Callithrix jacchus: one gene and its partners. The protein of the gene in region 3 interacts with the protein of the main gene of each other region in a biochemical or structural test. Links are inferred from orthologs where the notes say so. Each region holds a gene or a part of one and is shown on either strand. Other genes may lie near its edges.

Region 1 (3,652 bases), on a different chromosome or scaffold from region 3:
TAGCAATTTGGGAGGCGAGGCAGGTGGACTGCCTGAGCTCAGGAGTTCAAAACCAGCCTGGGCAACACAGCAAAACCGTGTGTCTACTAAAAATACAAAAAAAAAAAAAAAATCAGCCAGACGTGGTGGCGCATGCCTGTAGTCCCAGCTACTCAGGAGTATGAGGCAGGAGAATTGCTTGAACCCGGGAGGCAGAGGTTGCAGTGAGCAGAGATCGCACCACTGCCCTCCAGCCTGGGCGACAGAGCAAGACTCCGTCTCCAAAAACAGTGAATAAACACATGGTAAATGCACTTAGAATAATATGTTAGTTCAAAAAGTGTATCAATTATGGTTATTTTCTAATATTGGTTAATCACTTTCTAGCCATAAGGCAGTTAAGATACTCAGGGCGCCCTAAAGGTGATGCTATACAGTATTATGCAGATGGTGGTCACTCTGTTTTTTACCTGCAAGCCATAAACAGTGGGTAGACGAAAATCAAAAGAGCATCACATTCAATCTTACAAGCAGGACACGGCAGGAGTTAAGGTCCAAGTTTCCACTGCCACTACCCTTGCAAATGAGATAAGGAAGAACAGTTCTCTCCAAGTAGTGCTTAGCTAGACTGCTCAATATCTTAGGAGTAAGAAAATGCACCTCTAAATGACCCCAACAAACCTATGGGACTTACCATAGATACAGATTGCTCAATAAGGAAAAATACAGATATGGCTATGTACTTCCATTTTGGAATTTTAAAATTATCTGTAAAATATCTTATAGGAATTCTACCTCATACCCATGCTTGTTCAATACTAATAAGTTCCTATTACAAGTTTAAAATATATGAGTATTTCTAATCCGGGGCAAAGGTGACATAAGACTACCTGCAGACAATGAATTAGATGAAGCACAGGAGGAATAAAGAGGAAAAATGGTTACTTACTTCATATTTACACTTCTCACCAGCTTTAGCCTTTTTCAGTTTTTCTAGAGCTTCTTGGCACCTCTTCTTTGATTTTTTTTCTCGCCGGGCTCGAGAAGCTACGAAACTCCCTGAATCTGACACAGCTGAAAAAAAAATTTACAAGAGATATTACAAAATTGTCAGCCATCTTCCCTCAAACACAAAGGAAAAGTTTCTAGCCAACAATAACATTCAATTTTAATATTATACAGTGATTTTTATAATGTAAATAATTCACAAAGCTCACGGCCAAACATACAGATCCAAATATACATGACTCTCCAGAATGTTCCTGTTAAAACAATTAAAGCCACTATTATTTTTTTCTCCAAAAAGAGGAAAATTCCCAATTCAACTGATACCCTGTGGAGACACTAAACAAGGGAGATCAGCGGTTAACTAATTTATCACCTTTCCATTAGAAATGACCAGCCAGAAATAATCCAGTGGGTTATAAAAGAACTATTAATCTTGTATTCTGTTAATCAACATCTAAAAGGCTTAAGGAGCATCTACTCTTTGCAAAGTACTAGGCACTATGAGACACAAAGATAGGCCAGGCACAGTGACTCACACCTGTAATCCCAGCACTTTGGGAGGCTGAGGTGGACAGATCATCTGAGGTCAGGAGTTCAAGACCAGCCTGGCCAACCAGATATGGTGGTACATGCCTGTAACCCCAGCTACTTGGGAGGCTAACACAGGAGAAACACTTGAACCCGGGAGGCGGAGGTTGCAGGGATCTGAGATCATTCCATTGCACTCCAGCCTGTGCAAAAAGAGAGAAACTCCATCTCAAAAAAAAAATAAATAACCAAGATAAAAAAGACATGGTCTCTGTACTCAAAGAACTTACTAACATGGGAGACAAGTAGCAACTGGCTCTAAACAATATTTGGAGGTAATACACACCTTAAAAGAGGTACAGACAAAGTACCCAGAAATTCAAAGGAATGCACTGAGGACTGGAGAAATTTAACAAAGATGGCTCTGAGGAGATTCTCGATATGTCACTTATTTCAAGGCCTCAATTGGTTATGACATAGGACGTTAGTAAAACAACTACAAAGACTAAAATTGTTTGTCAAAAATTACTGAAATATCAGAGGACTTCAGTGTTTATTCATTCAACTTTTGAATTATTCATGCTCTGGTCATCATAAACTGACCATTCTACGAACATACTGAAAAAATTTCGGCCAGGCGCAGCGGCTCATGCCTGTAATCCCAGCACTTTGGGAGGCCAAGGCAGGTGGATCAGCTGAGGTCAGGAGTTTGAGACCAGCCTGACCAACATGGTGAAACCCCATCTCTATTAAAAAAACAAAAATTAGCTGAGCGTGGTGGCAGGCACCTGTAATCCCAGCTACTCTGGAGGATGAGGCAGGAGAATCCCTTGAACCCAGGAGGCAGAGGTTGCAGTGAGCCGAGAGTACACCACTGCACTCCAGCCTGGGTGACAGAGCGAGACTCAGGGGGAAAAAAAAATTCATCCACAGAATTAAAGACTTTCATATACCCACTGATGAATGACTAAGTCAAGCATAATAGTGCTGCCTGTCAGCCATGAGTTTAGGCTCAGCATGATTGCCATGTATGCCTGTGAAATTTAGTATTTTATTGTGTTTGGTGCTAATTAATTTATAAAAAGGAGCAGGCACAGAAAAGGAGAAGTATGGATAAGAGGCAGCCTAAAACTCCAACCCCCCTAGAATGTTCATAACAACATCAAGCTGCTTAACTCAGTGTTTGACTGAAATAGAAGATACAATTTAAAGAACATGTACCAAGTGCTGGCAATAAACTGCTGGAGACTATAGCTTAAAGGTAAAGCATAATTAGAGATCTTACTTTTTTCTAGCTTTCTAGAAATGGAATCTCTCTTAATAACATCTCACTCTATTGTTTGACTTTCACATTTGACTTTTAAATCCATTTTCAGAAAGACATTAAGGAATAAAGGTACTTAATGATGACAGCCACAAAAACTTAGATGTCACTCAAATGATTTCAAAAATTGTGAACAGGCCTACATGAAAAGGCTTCGAAGATTACTCAACATGACCCCTGAAAGTGAAAAGCTAACCTCAGTGTATTCCCTTCAAGACTCCCTTGACGCCTGACATCTACAGGTCTTCAAATGGCCTGTGGAAGGCAACAACATTCCACTACACAGGGTTTAGGGTACAATTACAAATAAGACAGAGCTGCCTGTCCACAAGGGGCTCCCAGTCAAGTAAAGCAAAGTGCCTGAAATTGCCATCACAATATAACCATGGTGCCATAGAAAAGGTAAGAACTCAGTACTGAAGAAATGTACAGAGGAGAGCTGTTAATTTTGCCTGAGAAATCAAGGAAGGCTTCACAGGAGAGGTTTCCAATACAGGCCTAGAAAAAGGAGAATTTCACAATCAGAGAACAGGGTAAAAAGTGACACAGGTGAAAGAAGAGGCATGAGACAATTTACAAGGGATGAAAACGCATGGTGTATTCAGAAACTGAGAGACGTCAGCATGCAAGGCAAACTCAACAACAGAGTGTAGAATGAATACGAGCACCAGAATAGCGAGCAGCAGCACATTCCAGCTCTGCCATTTACTAGGCGACATGAGAACACCAGTTAACTAGTTAAGCAGCAGACAGCTGTCTTGTTTTAAGCTGCCCAGCATCTGAAACTGTTTGTAAAATCCGGCCCCCATCCCT
Region 2 (3,652 bases), on a different chromosome or scaffold from region 3:
CGTGGGAGGCCAAGGTGGGAGAATCACTTGAACTCAGGAGATGGAGGTTGCAATGAGCCAAGATCACACCCCTGTGCTCTAGCCTGGGCAAAAGAGCAAGACTCCATCTCAAAATAAATAAATAAATAAATAGAATAAAATGTTATCCTTTTACTTTGAAAATCTTTCTTAGTGAGATTATCTTTTCCTGTATCTATTAGCTATGTGAGTTATAACCTTTGTGAAGTCATATTCTTTATTCATTTTATTAACCCTGTTAGTAGTTCTTAATATAATTCTGCATACTGATTGTCTGGTCAATGTAACTCAGGATGGAGCTAACGGTTAAAAAAAAATTACAGCTAGAGCATGACACTGTAAATTATTTCATTTGAGATGGAGTCTCGCTCTTCTCACCCAGGCTGGAGTGCAATGGCATAATCTCGGCTCACTGCAATCTCCAATCTCCGCTTCCGGGGCTCAAGTGATCTTCTTGCCTCAGGCTCCCGAGTAGCTGGGATTACAGGCACACGCCACCATACCCAGCTAATTTTTGTATTTTTAGTTGAGATGGGTTTTTGCCATATTGGCCAGGCTGGTCTCGAACTTCTGACCTCAAGTGATCCACCAGTCTTGACCTCCCGAAGTGCTGAGATTACGGGTGTGTGTCACCACACCTGGCCTGTTAATTACTTTAATAGTAAGCTTTTTTTTTTTTTTGGCAGGGGGTAGGGGACAAGGTCTTGCTTCAACATTCTGGGCTCAAGTGATCCTCCCATCTCAGCCTCCCAAGTAGCTTGTCCTGCAGGTATGCACAAACACACCTGGTCAATTTTTTTATTTAGTCATGATTTTTTTAACTATTAGATCCATAAATTTTGACAGTGATAATTTCCCCCCAAATATTAGACATCATTTTTCCACTTATCTTTAATAAGCTATATAAGACAATTCACCTAAAAGGCACAAAAAAAAGAATGTAATCAATTTAATTATACAACAGATAAAGCAATTTCTGCCTCTTCTTTTAAACATATTTGACTCTTTCTAAAATGGATTATAATCATGTCATTTTTCTTCCAAACAGGAAACCGAGAAATACTTACACGTTCCATTTATATTAAGACCACAAGTCCTGTACACATATTTCTAAGTACAATACCAAATAATTAATATTTTATTTACCTTTTCAACTTATAGTATCTCCTACAGTTTCTCAATATCCTTCATTTCTCTCAATATTACACAATGTTATAACCTTTAAAAATAAACTCTTCCAATGCCGGGCACAGTGGCTCACACCTGTAATCCCTGCACTTTAGGAGGCAGGAGTGGGCAGATCACAAGGTCAAGAGTTCAAGACCAGCCTGGTCAACATGGCAAAAACCCCGTTTCTACAAAAAAATACAAAAATTAGCCGGGCATGGTGGCACATGCCTGTAATCCCAGTTACTCAGGAGGCTAAGGCAGGAGAATCACCTGAACCCAGAAGGCAGAGGCCACAGTGAACCAAGATCACGCCATTGCACTCCAGCCTGGGTTACAGAGCAAGACCCCATCTCAAAAAAATAAATAAATAAAAATAAAATAATAAACTCTTCAATACAAGTGTCTAATACATTAAAATTTAAATATTTTCACCAAAGAAATAAAATATAATGGATACCAACTTTGATACAAATAAAGGAAAATCATTGGATGCTAATTTTAGCATCTAATTTCACCCGTCCACAGGTACAAATGCTCAGAAAATGATAAACAGAATTGTTACTATCACTAAGATTTATAAGCTCATATAAGCCATACTCTACTTCTCAAACTCTAACATAGTTACCTCTGCTCTGAACATTTCAGGATTCTAGTTAAAGATACATAGTTTCCTTCCACTGTCCCTTTGCTCACAGTTGGAACAGATTTTCTGCAAGCCACATATAAGGCACATGCTAACCAATGAAGATCATTTCCCTGTAAAAGAAAAGAAAATCCATTTTTAATTAATAAGCTATATATCTATTTCAATATTTTTTTAAAGTATGTTTAAATGTTTATATGGTGGTGCAGGGTGAAAAAATAAAAGAAAGTGTTTATATTTTTGTGGGAAATTTATTTTCAATAAGAACCCTATCTCATACGCTCTTCTTTTTTTTTTTTGAGATGGAGTCTCGCTCTGTCACCCAGGCTGGAGCACAGTGGTGTGATCTTGGCTCACTGCAACCTCCCCCTCCCAGGTTCAAGTGATTCTCCTGCCTCAGCCTCCAAGGTAGCTGGGACTATGTGCCACCAGGCCCAGCTAATTTTTGTAGAAACGGAGTTTCACCATGTTTGCTAGGCTGGTCTTAAACTCCTGGCCTCAAGTGATCCATCCACCTCGGCCTCCCAAAGTGCTGGGATTACAGACATGAGCCACTGTGCCTGGCCCCACATGTTCTTCTTATAATGTGACATTGACATTATTTTACTGAGAGGCAGGGAAGGTTCCCTCACCATGGAGGTGGGCAGGGGTCTGCACACTGATTAACTGTCTCTATCAACAGCAGAGGTAGAAGTGATACTATGTAATTCTAAAGATTATACAAGGCAATATAGATTCCACTTGGTTCTTTCTCTTAGGACATATGCCTTGGGAGTCCTAAAAAAACATCCAAGAATTCAGTTACCCGGTATCACCATGCTGGAGAGACCACCATGGAACAGACATACAGAGATGCCCAATGAGCTCCAGCTGTGCCAGTTCCTAGTTGCTCAAGTCTTCCAGGTGAGGTACCAGTCATTTTGATGCAGAAACCTGATATCAATATTGTCCCTGGCCTGAATTTCTGACTCACAGAACCTGTGAGCAAAACAAATTGTTTTCTGCTCCTAAGTTTTAAGGTAATTTGTTATATAGCCATCGGAATGGACATAATATTGTTGTTTGTATTTTTAATCTTGCTCAAAATCTAGAAAATTATAGAAATACAAAATTAAGCTTGAATGGACATTCAGCCACTAATTTTATACCTAATCAAAATACATACATGAATGCATGAAATTTATTCTTATAACCAAATGAAACTATTGTAGATTACTAACATATTATCATTAAACAATAATAATTTTTAAGGCATTGCTTCTAAAAGATCATCCTCACAATTCTTTTTTATTCAAGAAGTGATACAACTTTACTACTCCTATAAAAGAGAGCAAGGATGGAAGATGTCCTTTAGTTTCACTGTATCCATTACTGGTCTAAAGGAAAATAAGAAAAACTGGAAGTTCTTCATTTTTCACATTTATACATAGACTATCTTAAAAATCCATTTATATGTACTAATAGCACAGATGTATTGTCAAAAAAAACCAGCCAACGTTTGTGTATTACACTTATCTCTGGGAGATGGTTTCACAATATTCGTTATTTATAATGTAAAAGCAAATTTAGATTTATAACTACTGCATTTCTCTACTATATCAAATCTCTTAGAAAGTATAAAGTCAGTCACAACATTATCCTGTGCTTTAATAAAGGGTTTAAAAGATAATCTATAATGGTCCATTTTGGTTCTAGAGAATTCACAACTACTTGGAAGGTGGAGGGAGAACAAAAAAAAAGAAAGAAAGAAAGGTCACAACTATAACATTCCTGAAAAGAAGAAAAGAATTAGTCTTGCCAGGTGCTGTGGGTCACGCCTGT
Region 3 (3,752 bases):
GTGGTATGTTGTATGTGTGGTGTGTGTGTGTGTGTGTGTGTGGTATGTTGGCTGGAGGAAAAGAGGTTTGTTGGTGTGTGGAGAAAGTGAAGTAGGAAGTATATAGGTTTCAGTTTCCCCATCCATAAATAGGGACAATAATAACTGCTTTGTTTATCACCAGCACTAGCCAAAATGGGGCAGGGTGGGTAGATACCCACAGAGAGATTAGGAAAAGGGGTCTGGAATAAATGATCACATATACATAGTCATATTGTCTCCCCCCATTCTTTTAGTAAATAAGATGAGGAAAGAGATGAACTATAAAACTAGGTACATTTTTTTAATGAACTACAAACTAAATTACAAGTAACGTTAATAGCAGGAGCACGCAAGGACAAGGGTGACAGAGACAAAATCATAAAAGAAAAACTGCTTTTTTTTAGCACTGTCATTACAAAACTTCAAGGTGCACATGGCAACAAATGCACCCACTCTGACCAAAAAAAAAAAAAAAAAGCCAACTCTACTATTGGATAAAACCTGAAGTATAAATATAATTGTTCATCCTTCTTTTAAAGAAATATTTTTATCCAATGCCCTCACTCAATCACAGCCCTGTAAAAGTGTCGGCATGCTCAAAATGATGCCTAAACCCTAACTTCCACTCCTATGGGGTAGAAGGTGGACTTCAGAGGAAAATGGGATCAGGAATCCCTGGCAATGGAAGAACTAAGAATACTAAAAGGAAGAGAAAAATTCAAACATCTCTCACCTGCCTCATAAGGCCGTGGTGAAATAGATTGGAATGAAGCACAATCCCTGTCCTAGGGCCTCCCAGACTCCTCATGCCGGTAGAAGGGACAAACATGGGGTCTGGGGCCAATTATTTCTTCTGCAGCCCTATCAGGGCTGAGTCTTGAGTCTCCCAGCCTATTAGGTGAGGCAAAACACTAACTAGGGTATAAACTGATTGGATCTATTTTTTCAAAGGAATTCTTTAAAATAGACTCCTCTCTGTGGTTTTGTTTTACTTGGTTCTCAAAAGCTCCAACTTAGGCCCCTGCTATTGTTTGGCCTTTACAAAAATTGTGGCAGCAGGAAGCTGGGGATCCTGGTCATCCCAAACACTGGAAATAATAATTATGGGGCATTCAAAGATTGGTATGGCAAATCTAATGTGTAGGGAGGCTTTTTTTTAAAAAAAAAACCAACCCTCTTTAGCAATAATTAGGAGAAGGGAGAAAGGATAGTGGAGGCTAACGTAAGTGCATCTAATACTGAAACTTCCTTTCATTTTTACTAGTTCCTCTCTTTCACCCCTGTATTCCCAGAGTTGGCTGGCTAAGACTGGAAGGTGAGTGTTTAAGGCAAGATCAGAGGGCCCACCTGAGTCCAAAGAGCCAGGTCAAGCCCACACTGGAGGAGAGGGTGAAATTAGGGCTGGGGGCTTTGAGAAGGCCATCAGAGTCGAAGATGGGGTACTGGCTTGGTCACATCCTGGAAGAAAGGGTGAGCCAGGGCTGCCTTTGCCGAAATCCGCTTGTTGGGGTCATAGTGCAGCATTTGCTAGAGGGAGAGGGGAGAGATGTATGTTGATTTCAATGATGTGATAGTGGACTAAATGGGCAGCAAGTGTTCCCAGAAATCAGGAAACCAGAACTCCTTCTACCCAAGGCAGAATTCTCACTTCCATCCTCCTGTATCTGAATCAGCATGCCAACAGGGAAAGAAGGAATCAGGGAAATGAAATACTGAGGCCCAGAGTTCAGGGTCTCATCCTTCCTTTATCCTGTAAAATCCCTTCCCTGGAAGAAATGAATGAGGGGAAGCAGGTGCCCACTCTCACCGATAACAGGCTCCGTCCATCTTCATCCAGGGGAGGTACAACTTTACTAAAATCTTGTCGGGCCCACTTGGGGAAACTTGGTTTGTAATCAGGCATAGAAGTAACTCCTGGCCACACCACCTCATCTGGGGTCCCCAGAGTCCGAAAGATCCGGAAGAGCTGGTCAATCTCAGAATCTCCAGGGAATAGGGCCCGGCGAGTCACCTGAAAATGGGGAAAGAGGAAATACCAAGACCCACATTGACGTCAGTCAAAACTGTCCTCTATACAAAGGAGTTCCCACAGGCAGTGAAAGGTCAGCAGGGCCCCATGACTCCCTCCCTAGGGCCTTTCATGGGGTCGGTCACACAGAACCTGAGACAAAGAAGTCCCTTCATCTGTCTCCTTGCCCCCTCCTTCCTTCCCCCAACCATGACTTTGCAGATCCCCAAGGCTGGGTGGGGCTGGGAGGGGGTGAATGTCTGGGGTGCCACTGACATGTAGCAAAGGGATCCCAAGCCACTCACGGGGTGTGGGGTAGACACTGCGGTCATCCCCCAACCTTGTGATGCAGCCACTTCTAGATAGGAGCACAGCGGGCAGAGACTCTGTCTTCCATTTCTTCTGTGTTCCCCACAGCACCTAGCATGGTGCTAGGTACACACTAGGTGCTTAACAAATATTTTTTGATGAATTGAGAGAGGAATATGGGCAATTGTAAGGTAATGCTTTGGGGGATAAATGCACATTACATATGTATAGGCTAAGGGTCTTTAAGCTCTTGGTTACAACACAGATAAAGGACCATAAAACATTGCTGATTTGAAGCCTCGGCCTACTGCACTGCGCTGTTGTATTAAAGGAGATGGGAGCTTCTACATAAGGCCAGGCCTCAAGGATCCTTCAGTCTGAAAAGCCAGAGGTTGAAAGGGGATGTGATCTAAATCTTTTTTTTTTTTTAATAAAGATGGGGTTTTAGGGCCGGGTGCAGTGGCTCATGCCTGTAATCCTAGCACTTTGGGAGGCTGAGGCGGGTGGATCACGAGGTCAAGAGATCAAGACCATCCTGGTCAACATGGTGAAACCCCATCTCTACTAAAAATACAAAAAATTAGCTGGGCATGGTGGCACGTGCCTGTAATCCCAGCTACTCAGGAGGCTGAGGCAGAAGAATTGCCTGAACCCAGGAGGCGGAGGTTGCGGTGAGCTGAGATCGCGCCATTGCACTCCAGCCTGGGTAACAAGAGCGAAACTCCGCCTCAAAAAAAAAAAAAAAAAAAGATGGGGTTTTACCATGTTGGTCAGGCTGGTCTTGAACTCCCGACCTCAGGTGATCTGCCCACCTTGGCCTCCAAAGTGCTTGGATAACAGGCGAGAGCCACCATGCCCCACCAATCTTTTTTTTTTTTTGAGATGGAGTCTCGCTCTGTCACCTGGGCTGGAGTGAAGTGGTGCGATTTCATCTCACTGCAACCTCCGTCACTCAGGTTCAAGCGATTCTCCTGCCTCAACCTCCCAAATAGCTGGGATTACAGGTGTTTGTACCACCATACCCGGCTAATTTTTGTATTTTTTGTATAGATGAGGTTTCAGCATGTTAGCCAGGCTGGTCTTGAACTCCTGTCCTCAGGCAACCCACCCACCTCAGCCTCCCAAAGTGCTGGGATTACAGGCATGAGCCACTGCGCCCTGTCTAAATCTGCAGTTTAAATGAAGGGTGTGAACAAAGTGACCACAACTGGCTTCACTACATTCCTGGCACCATACAACAAGGTCTACAGGCCTTGAAGTGAAGCCCTAAAATAAAAGAGGCACTAAATGGAATCATTCTCCCAAATATATGCAGACTATGGTTAAAACAGATGCAGAAATGTTTTACCTCATTTCAGGGATAGAGATGTATACTAGGTACTAAGGCTGTTGTTGGATATCCTAACATTGTGGT

The links.
Region 1: of the proteins of CDK2 (region 3) and POLA1, one has a biochemical effect on the other in vitro, tested with the Homo sapiens proteins (2 studies listed by BioGRID). The link is inferred for Callithrix jacchus from reciprocal best matches to the Homo sapiens genes CDK2 and POLA1.
Region 2: the proteins of CDK2 (region 3) and RBL2 form a complex in vitro, tested with the Homo sapiens proteins (3 studies listed by BioGRID, with this or other methods). The link is inferred for Callithrix jacchus from reciprocal best matches to the Homo sapiens genes CDK2 and RBL2.

Annotation. Positions count from the first base shown.
Region 1 is NC_133524.1:25,427,394-25,431,045, reverse strand, and holds part of POLA1 (DNA polymerase alpha catalytic subunit), read right to left. Parts: intron 1,054-3,652; coding exon 929-1,053; intron 1-928. UniProt on the Homo sapiens protein: Catalytic subunit of the DNA polymerase alpha complex (also known as the alpha DNA polymerase-primase complex) which plays an essential role in the initiation of DNA synthesis.
Region 2 is NC_133521.1:11,359,174-11,362,825, reverse strand, and holds part of RBL2 (retinoblastoma-like protein 2), read right to left. Parts: intron 1,945-3,652; coding exon 1,814-1,944; intron 1-1,813. UniProt on the Homo sapiens protein: Key regulator of entry into cell division. Directly involved in heterochromatin formation by maintaining overall chromatin structure and, in particular, that of constitutive heterochromatin by stabilizing histone methylation.
Region 3 is NC_133510.1:63,704,659-63,708,410, forward strand, and holds the end of CDK2 (cyclin-dependent kinase 2), read right to left. Parts: intron 2,033-3,752; coding exon 1,829-2,032; intron 1,549-1,828; coding exon 1,444-1,548; 3' UTR 297-1,443; downstream 1-296. UniProt on the Homo sapiens protein: Serine/threonine-protein kinase involved in the control of the cell cycle; essential for meiosis, but dispensable for mitosis. Phosphorylates CABLES1, CTNNB1, CDK2AP2, ERCC6, NBN, USP37, p53/TP53, NPM1, CDK7, RB1, BRCA2, MYC, NPAT, EZH2.